Coturnix japonica: one gene and its partner. The protein of the gene in region 2 purifies or fractionates together with the protein of the main gene of each other region. This does not show direct contact. Links are inferred from orthologs where the notes say so. Each region holds a gene or a part of one and is shown on either strand. Other genes may lie near its edges.

What was found.
Region 1: the proteins of TJP1 (region 2) and OCLN purify together in Homo sapiens (affinity purification with western blotting; 4 studies listed by BioGRID and IntAct, with this or other methods). This does not show direct contact. The link is inferred for Coturnix japonica from reciprocal best matches to the Homo sapiens genes TJP1 and OCLN.

What each region holds. Positions count from the first base shown.
Region 1 is NC_029543.1:2,404,649-2,409,682, reverse strand, and holds the start of OCLN (occludin), read right to left. Parts: upstream 2,967-5,034; 5' UTR 2,873-2,966; intron 2,043-2,872; 5' UTR 1,898-2,042; coding exon 1,235-1,897; intron 388-1,234; coding exon 229-387; intron 1-228. Other genes in the region: OCEL1 (occludin/ELL domain-containing protein 1), read right to left, coding at 3,362-3,484, 3,680-3,818, 3,901-4,682. UniProt on the Homo sapiens protein: May play a role in the formation and regulation of the tight junction (TJ) paracellular permeability barrier.
Region 2 is NC_029525.1:5,214,765-5,219,552, forward strand, and holds the start of TJP1 (tight junction protein ZO-1), read right to left. Parts: upstream 3,462-4,788; 5' UTR 3,447-3,461; coding exon 3,280-3,446; intron 1-3,279. UniProt on the Homo sapiens protein: TJP1, TJP2, and TJP3 are closely related scaffolding proteins that link tight junction (TJ) transmembrane proteins such as claudins, junctional adhesion molecules, and occludin to the actin cytoskeleton.

The DNA.
Region 1 (5,034 bases), on a different chromosome or scaffold from region 2:
ACGGGCTCAGCACTGCTGGCCCCCGGCCCATCTGATCCAACCCTGTTTGCCTTTAGGGCCAGAGAAGGGAAATAAAAGGGCTGCTTGGGGAAGGAGTTCAGCCCCACGGCTCCTGGTACAGCACTGTTTGTAGCAGGAGGAGCTCCTGATATGGGGCACAGCCACGTTCCCAGCTCCCAACCTGCTCAGGGTAGGAGGAGGATGCTCCCATTGCCCCCCTATACTCACCCACTCCTCCACATCGGGCCCCTCCTGCACTACGGGTGCACGGTCCCAATAGATGTTGGCTTTGCCATAGCGCCAGATCTTGCTGCGTGTCTTCTGGGCGAAGAAGCAGATGAGGCAGAGCAGGATGGCAATGAGGAACCCACAGACAGCAGCCACAGCCTGGAGGGGAAGCAGGGAGGGGGGGGCTGAAGGGGTCTGCACTCACCCAGCCCCCGTGTGGGGCTGAATGGGGCAGCTCTCCCCCCATAGACACCCATAGGTTAGACAGGCAGTCCACAACACAGAGCCACCATGGGGTTTGTAGGGCTGAAGGCTGGGTTTTATCATGGGAGCAGACGGAGGGGACACCCCAACACTGCACCTCCATTGGGGTCAGCTGAGCATGGAGCTCTATGGGGCACTGAGCACAGCACCATGTTGTGTCCCCCCCCCCTCCTCCACGGTGCAGCAGTGTTATGCTCAAGGTGCAGGAATGCAGCACATCCAGCCCGGCTGCCACAAACCAGCAGCACCGGTCCCACCCCAGCACTGTACAGGAACCCTACAACGGCCCCAGCCGAAACCGGGGCCGTGCAGAACCTGCTGCCTTCTGCCCCACTGACCCCAACCAGCACAGCACAGCACAGTCCGGCTTCCCCTCCCTGCTCAAGTCCTTTTACAAGCCTGGAGACCAAAGTACCCGGGAGCAGCTCAGTGTTGGGGCACAGCCTGTCCCCTCCCCGAAACTCCTGTGCTTTGATGGCCACACGGTGCCATCCCCCTCCCCTCCACCCAATGCAGCAGCACCACAAATGGGGGGGGGCATTAAGAATGGGGACACCACATCCCCATCAGGACACACTGACCCCAAATTGCTCCCCCTACGACCTCATTCTGCCTTTAAATCATTATGGGGGGGGGACACCGCATCCTCATCTCCATCAGGACACTCTGACCCCAAATTGCTCCCACTACAACCTTAAAGGGCTGACTTTAAATCATTATTGGGGGGGGGGTTCACACTCACCTCCTGCGGATCCACAGTGCAGTAGTGGTAGATATACTGGTTGAGGTAGGTGCCACCATAAGCCTGGCTGCACATGGCCAACAAGGGGCTGTAGTAATAACCACTGGACATCTGTGCCTGCGGGTTGACCCCCATGATGTAGACGATGGATGCGATGAGCATGACGAAGGCCAGCACAGCGCTCAGCACCAGCACAGCCAGGTAGAATCGCCGTGAGCGTGTGGCCCCTGATTTACTGAGAGCAGCCACCAACAGCCCCAACTGGGCCAGGAAGCACAGCACGGCCATAGCGATCATAAAGCCATTCGCCGTGCGTTGGTTCACCCCTCCATAGTAGCTCCCGTAGCCGTAGCTGTAGCCCAACGAGCTGCCGTAGTAGCCGGTACCGTAGAACCCCCCCAAGCCGGTGCCATAAGCCCCCCCCAGGCCGTAGCCATAGTCCCAAGCGAGCGTGGATGCTACACAGGCAAAGATGGCAACGCAGAGCAGCAGGACCCCCCCCTGCAGCCCCCGCACCACGCCGGGGGGCGACGTCCACTTATAGAAGTGCTGCGGAGCGTCGTCTACGTAGTAAGAGCCCGGAGGGGGCGAACCGTAGCCGTAATCAGCGCCGGGGGGGCCGTACATGGTGGGGGGAGAGTCGTAGGATTTCTTGCTGAACATGGTGAACCTGCGGGGGGGAAGGACGGAGCGCTGACACCGCCGGTTCTCCCCGTCCCCGTTGAGTTCAATGGGGGACTTTGATCGCCGTCGGTCGGTCGGTCGGTCCGTCCGTGTGTCCGACGCGTCACAGCGACTCGTAGGGAAACTGAGGCACGTTTTGGGGCGGGGAGAGACGGTGAGTCAGCGCTGGGTGCTCAGCCCTGCCCGCCCGACCCGCCGCGTCATGGGGTCGTCTCATTAACAAGCACAAAAGCGATTAACCGAGGGCAGCGCTCACCCCCGAGGGCCCCTCCGGCAGCAGAGCTGCTGGGATTAACAAGCAATGGGTGGGGGGGGGGGGTTCACTGCCGGTTCTTCCCCTACCCCGGACCCCCCCTCCGCACTCAGGATCGCCCTTTGCTTTTGCTTTGCTCTGAGTTCACAGGTGTTTGCAGCAACAGCGCAGGAAGGTTGGGGGGGGGGGGGGGGAGCAACGCCATGAGGGGCAACGGGGGGAGACGGGACGGCTCTGCAGCCTAAAGCTTCCCCCCCCCACGATGTACAAAGGCACAACCCCACAGACACAGCACAACCCCAAGCATTGACCCTCCCCCCCGGCAGGTGCAATATGAGAAACCCGAACCCCGCGGGGTAACCCGAGCGGAAGGCAGGCGGGGAGTTGGGGGGGGGTCGCGATGTCCCAACCCCCCCCTCCCCGTCCCCAACGCAGGTCCCGGAGAGGGGAAGGATGGGGAGGGGGGGGGCTCTGTGTGTCCCCCCACCCGACAGCCCCGAGACGTGGAGCCCCTCCCGGTGCAGCCCCCCCCCCCAACCCGGTCCTCGCAGCGCTCCGGTACCGGCGGATACAGACGGAGACCCTCGGAAGGACCCACAAAGCACCACCCCCGCCGCTACCGGGACCCGCACTCCCCCACCCCGGTTCCGGTATCGGTTCCGGAGTCCCGTACCACCGCACAACCCGTCACCTGCACGCACCTCCGCCGCTTTGTTCACCTTAAAATGGCAGCCGGGAGCGCTGCGGGACGGGACCGGTCCCGGTTTCCGCCTCCGGGGGGAGCCCCGAGGGCGGCCCCGCTGCCGTTGTCCGCCCCCATTGCGGGGAGGGGGAGCGGGGGCTGCGGGCGGGGGTCCCCGTAGTGCAAGGCTGAGTGGGTGACATCGGAGCATCCCCGGGGCTCTGGGTGCCCCCCACCCGCTGCGGGTCCCCCGAGATGCATCGAATCCCCCCGGAAACATCATGGGATTTTATTATAAAGTGCCCCAATCCCTCTTTGGCTGCACCTGCTTTGTGCTGGGGGGGGGGTGCAGAGCCACTAGAGACCCCCAGATTTGCTCCCTTTGCCACAGTGGTTGCAATACAGCAGGCAGTGGGTGCCCATAGTGCTGTCACCCCCAGTACTGAGCCCCACAGTGTCCACAGGGCTTTTTTTTCTGGGGGGGGGGTCTCCATCCATCGTGCCCCGCTCAGAAGAGGACGGTGCTGCTGCGGTCACTGTTGCGGTCATACTCCTGGATCTGTGCCTTAATATGTGTCAGCTTCTCCTTCAGGTAGAGGCAGCGCTGCTGCTTTGCCACGAAGGCCAAATCCTGGCAATGGGACACGCTGAGCACCGAGACCCCCCCCACGCAGCCCACACCCCTCACCCTCCTCACCCTCTTCTCCCCCAGGAGCTCACAGCAAACACAGACCCCCCCCTTTTTCACCCTACAGAGCAGAAAGGCACAGCCCCCCCCATCCCCACCCACCCACCCCCTGTGCCCCCCATCTCATCGCACACCCACCTTGCCCACAGCATCATCATCCTCCCCCCACCGCTCCGCCTTCAGTCGGCCCCGCAGCTCCCGATACTCGGCGTGTTGATCGACGAACACCGCCCCGTATTGCTGCCGCTGCCGGGAGCTCCGGATCGCCGGGTACCGCCTGCAGGAGAACCACCACCAGCTCAACCCACGGGACCCCCCATGGACCCCCCCCCCCCTTCACACCGAGGATGGTCACTTACATCATGTAATCAGGCTGGGGGGGCACCGAGCCTGAACACTTGCTCTCTTTGCTGGTGGTGACTCCAGCCCCCCATAGGGGTCTCCCTGCCACCCCCACCTCATCCTCGAAGATTACACGTTTGGCTCGGACCAGCGGAGGCTTCAGGATGGAAACTGGGGGGCTCAAAGCCCCCGTGGGCTGCAGGTTGTCCATAGGGCTACAAGGAATCGCTGCAGCCCCCTGGTACCAAACCTTGAGAGCCACGGCACTGCCGGCCAGGTAGAGCAGAGCAGTGAGGAAGAGGAAGAGGAGAGCGGCCGCCTGAGCCCCATCCACACGGCAGAGCTCGGTGAGGAGGGGGCTGCCAGGCAGCGGGGAGGAGCAGAGCCCCCCCAGGGTGACAGTGTGAACGTGGGCCCCCGCCGCAGCCAGGCAGAGCAGGAAGAGCAGCACATAGAGCCCTGCTTCGGTGGGGGGCCACCAGGTGACCCCCAAGAGGATGTGATGGTAGCGGGTGGTGACCCCCAGCAGGAGGGCAGTGAGCAGCCAGGCCAGGCCGAGCACTGCCAGCACAAAGGGGGTCAGCGGGACCCCCAGCCCCCCCCCAGGGAGCAGCTCAGTGCTGTAAGCGCTGTAACCCCATGGGATGGCAGCACACACACAGATAAAGGCCGCCCCCCCGCACAGCAGCTGCAGCCCCCCCAGCACCCACAGCAGTCCCAGCCACGACTTCAAGTGCTGCCCGACAGCATCATCCCGTGGTCCCTTCTTATTGCTGGGGGGGGTGAGCTCAGCCATCATCTCCTTTGGTGATGGGATCCCCCGGCGGTGGCCGTGCTGCTGGAGGGGGGCACCAGGATCCCCCCCCCAAGTCCTAATGCCTCAGTTTCCCCTGCAGGGTGCACTCAGCCCTGCTGCAGCTCCGTCCTTGTCCTGTTGATACTCAGGACCCCCACCCAGCCCTGCCTCCCTCTGCCCCCCCACGTTACCTGCCTGCTGCATGGCAGGATGTGGGCCCCCCCCCCCATCCAGGAGTGCTGCAGCCGCTACCTGCCTCCGATTGGCACCATGGGTTAAACATTAACAGCTTTGTGCTGCCCTACAGCGGGCGTGGGGGGCACAGTGAGGGCTGTGGGGTGTGGGCTGGAGGCAG
Region 2 (4,788 bases):
CAGTAAATACTGATGTCAGTTTACTGTTTGAAGGTGCTCCCGGGTCAGCAGTTTTTCTTGAGTATTTTAGCAAATGTGCTAATCCATGCCACCCTCACCATTAAAAATAATAACAGAAACTATTAACAGATGTTGGCCAATAAAGTTCTGGGTTCTCTTACCATGGTGAAAGAAACTGCTGCAGTTTCCAAGGTGCAAAACAGCACATCCCTTATTGTTAAATCTGCTCCCCTAATAACTGCTCTAATGAAATCTCAGTGCCAGAAATGATGGTTTTCCAATTTGAAAACCTCTGTGAAATAACCGACTTCACAATAGAAATTAGAAATTCAGAAGAAAATAATAATTATCTAGTTCCTGTAATCATTTCAAACATAACGCACCAGATAAAACCCTACTCTTGGAGAAATAGAGGTAGTACTCCAAAGAAGTATTACTACACAGCCTCAGAAAAGAGCATCTGTCCACGAAGAAGCTCATCACAGCCTGCAAGATTCTCATGTTGCCTCAGCCCAGAGCTGGAATGAGGCTGCCGCTCTGAATGAAGACAGCTTATTGACTTGTTAGACTCTGCTAACTGGCAGCATTATGACAGCACTTTTTTGCATCCAGATACAGCAAGACCGTTAAGAACACCCTACTCATCTCATTTGGTTCCTATGTATTAAATTACAGTGCCTCACAAACACGGGTCTGAATCAGCAGCTCTAGACTCCAGCAACTTCCTTCATCACTAGAATCAACACCCAACTGCCTCCAACAAACCTCACCCCAAAATGACCAAGTTCCACATTAAATGCAGTCAAATTTCCATCTACACCACTTCCCACAGCAAGCTGCAGCATCTGTTTTGGACCGCTCTCTGGTTTATACTCAGGCAGTCTACACCAGTTTATTGTGAACTCATCATGAGACGTGGGTATCCACCTTCTTTGTTTTCATTCCTGACTCTGCTTTTCTACAACAGGAACAGAACTTGGATTCCAGGGAGGAAAGTAGTAGGAAATTGGAGTGACAGATGCTCCATAAAGAAATAAAGCATCGCTGTTACCTTTTTCATTTTCATTCAGTAGGATTCAGGTGGATTATCTCAACCTACAAAAAGATGAGTATTTTAACCCTTTTTTATTAAATTACGCCTTTTGCTTCCACTTTCACTAAGTACCAACATATCAAAGAACTCATGAATCTGACTGCTTAAACAAAACGCTTTTTGTTGTTGTTGTTTTCTTTTTGCTAAACTAAAACGAAAGAAAATCAGCATCCATTGATTATAAAATTGGTCAGTTACACATTTTGTTTATGCTTCTTGGAGATTCTCAGTGATTCAGTTCTAGAACACACCTTTGCTTTCTGTGTTGGAAATAGACTCTAATATCGCCTTGATTTTAGTAATAACAGTATCTATTCTTGTCTCTTATATTCACTTTTTCTTAGTGGATTATTTGATACAGACTAAGCTCAAAAAAACCACCCCAAACTAAACAATAAAGTAACCTTAAGCATTTCTGTAAATGCATCGGAGAATAGTATTTCTTACATGAGCATAAATTCTATTCAAAGATAATGCCTAATGCTATTAAAGTTCTCGAAGAAAAAGTGACTGCATAATATCATGTCACCTACTAACAACAACATCCTAGAGATACGCTGCCAAACCTGAAATAATTCATAGATATCGCTAAAAATAAAATAGAAATGATCTTATTTCTCCCTAACACTCTTAGCTAACTAAATCTCCATGAAGCCTACCATTGCAGCAATACTGAGACAAGTCACAAACGTTACAAAATGCACAGCTCTTAGCACACATCAGTGGGGATCCACTCTGTTGTTTTGAAATCCCTCAAAAAGCACAGCATTTTGCCAGAAAACCAGGCAATATAGAGCTGATCTAACTCCAGCTGCAGACATCACATCAAGGAGAGAGTGAAGAGGGAGCTTTCAGACTTTTAAAGTAAGTAAATGCAAATAGCCTCATTTTAACATGTCTAAAAACGTTTCCAAGAAGACATAGGAAATAAGAAATAGAACAAGTGCTAGTGTTGTATGACGCATAATTAGACTGTCAAAAGAAGTAATATATCGATGGATGTTCTTCTGTGCACAGACAAGAAAAGCACTGGAGGAGAACGGAGCAGGTACAGTGGTAGCACTTTATGTAACTTACATAATCAAAATCAAACCACTGAATATACTATAAAACCTTTAGATTTGAGTAAATGTAATAAAATTATCTGCATGACAACGTATGTGTAAGACTACATTTGATCTTGTGCATTACAGTTAATAGAAATGGATCTGCAATCTGTTTTATAGTAAGATTTGGAACTAATGACAGAGCTTATTAGCTATACATTGCTCCTGCAAGGGACGCATTTCCTTGATACCGTGTATGCTAACTGGCAATACTGGACGGGGGGAGGTGGTTTAAGGGAAAAGCACATTGTAGAATAATTCAGGTAATCATGTATTTGTTGGGGCTGCCGACATGCAAACACCTCTGTCCCTGCAGAGGGTGCCCCTCTAAGCAGCATGACCTACCATGCCTTCTATGGCACTTCCCTTCACCGTGAGCGAACAAGTACAGTGAAAGAAAGAAACACCGGCACCACTTTGTCTTTCTGAGGAGAGAAATTCTCGGTGTGCGTTTGTTCTCAGCGGTTCCCCCACGAAAAGCCCGAGCTCGTGGACCTGGCAGCTTGTCCTGACGGCACATCCCGCTGCCTCCATGCAGCCAGCAGCGGCCTGCTCCCGCCAGCGAGTGCTGAATAGCACAGTGCCATATGCTTGTCGCTGCCCTACTCACCCACATTACACAATTACACTTTAATACATTTTTCATAACGTATTGTTGATTCGGCCAGAAAAATCGGTTCAGCACACCCATCGGCGAGCAAGAAAACACCGACAATGAGTCGAGGAAAAGTCCATTTCAGCATCTCAGCCGCCGCACCGAGGCCCGCACCGCCGCCCGGCCCACCTGCCCGGAGGGAGGCACGGCCCGGCGGGCTGGGACTCGGAGCCGCCCGTGTGAGCGCCCCGCACGCAGCGCAGCGCAGCGCCTGCCCGGCCGCGGCAGCGCCCCGCGGGACGCCGAGCGGGACCGTTCGGGCGCTGAGTCGCGGGCAGCTCCCGCGGGGCGCTCGGAGCCGGAACGTCCCGCCCTGAGGAGCGCGGCAGCCCCGGGCCCGCAGCGGACCCGCACGACGCTCCGCGGCCGCCGCCCGCCCGTCCCCGCCCGGCCGCAGAGCCGCCCGGCCGCGGTGCGTTACTCACCACAGCTTCCTCTTTAAGGGCATCAGACTGCCCCTGTTGGAGGCGGTCACCCCTATGGCCATCTGCAAGACAGTCAGGTATTTCTGATACTTCATTTTGCCGTCGCCCCCCCTGTCCCTGCCGCGTCCCCGCCGCCGCCACCGACAGAGTCTCTCCAGCCGCTGCATGCAATCATCAAATTTTTATTTCCAGGCATCTGCCGTCCCTGCGTCGCGCTCCTTCCCCTCCTCCTCCTCCTCCTCCTCCTGCCGCGCTCCCTCGCTCTCTGCCCCCCCGGCTCTCGCTCTCCTCCTCCTGCCGCACTCCCGCTATCTCTGCCCCCCGCTGACGCTCTCCTCCTCCTCCTCCTCCTCCTCCTCCCGCCGCGCTCCCGCCATCCGCGCTCCAGCTGACGCTCCTCCGCCTCCCGCCGCGCTCTGCCCTCCCCCCGGCCCGCTCCTCTCCTCCTCCTCCACAGCCGCCCTGCTGCCCGCATCCCCCCGTTCGCACCTGCCGCTTCCCGTCTCCCGCACCGCCGCTGCCCGCAGGCCGCAGGCCGCTCGCCCCTTCCTCACCTGCGCCGCCTCTCGCTAGGCCCTACCTCCCCCCCCGCCGTCCGTCCCCTCGCGGTCCGTTACCCCGCATCCCCCCCAGCCCTGCGGGCCTCCTTCCCCTCCATCCCTGCCCCTTTCGGACGCCGCGTTGACCCGCTGCCCGGCCCCGCTACCTGTGCTTTCCCCCCCGCCCATGTGGCGTAGCTGTGGCGCTGCCCTCCCGCCATCAGCGGGGCGCCATGCCGCAGCCCGGCCGCGCTGCCTCGCCCTGATCTCCTTAGCGCCCGGAATAGCCCCGCGCCGTCCCGATCTGCCCCTGCCGCCACACACGGGCGCTCGTGGCCGTCGGTCACGGGGGGAATCGGCGCGGTACCCGCCTGGGCGGCGCTGCGGAGGCGGGGAGGGGGAAGGTGAGGTGAGGGTGAGCGGCAGGAGCTGAGGTGCGGTGAGAGGGAAGTGCGAAGGTGAGGGTGAGAGGATGAGGGTGGAGGTGAGGGGAAGTGAGGGTGAAGGCGAGGTGAGGCTCAAGGTGGAGCTGAGGTGAGGGTGAAGGTGCAGCGAGGTGAGGGTGAAGGTGAAGGTGAGGATGAAGTTGATTGTGAAGGCTGAGGTGAGGATGGAGGTGAGGAGGTAAAGGTGGAGGTAAACGTGAGGTGAGGTGAGGCGTGCTGGGCTGGCAGGACAGGGCAGCGCTTCCAACCAAGCCTCCTTCGGGATGAGGAGGGATGTGCACCTCTGGATCCTTCAGCAAATGTAGCTGACAACATAACCGTAATAGTCCTACGTGTGACCATTATCATTACAACCTTAATTTGGTTTGTGCCCTCTTCAAGTTACACACTGAGAGCTGTAGAAAGAAGTCCAGCTCTTGATGAGTGCTTTTGGAATTCATTGTAAACATCAGAAGACCCATCTCTGAGCAGCCATACCTGAGATGAAGGGCAGCACGGGGCTGTTGATAAACAGCAATTGGAAA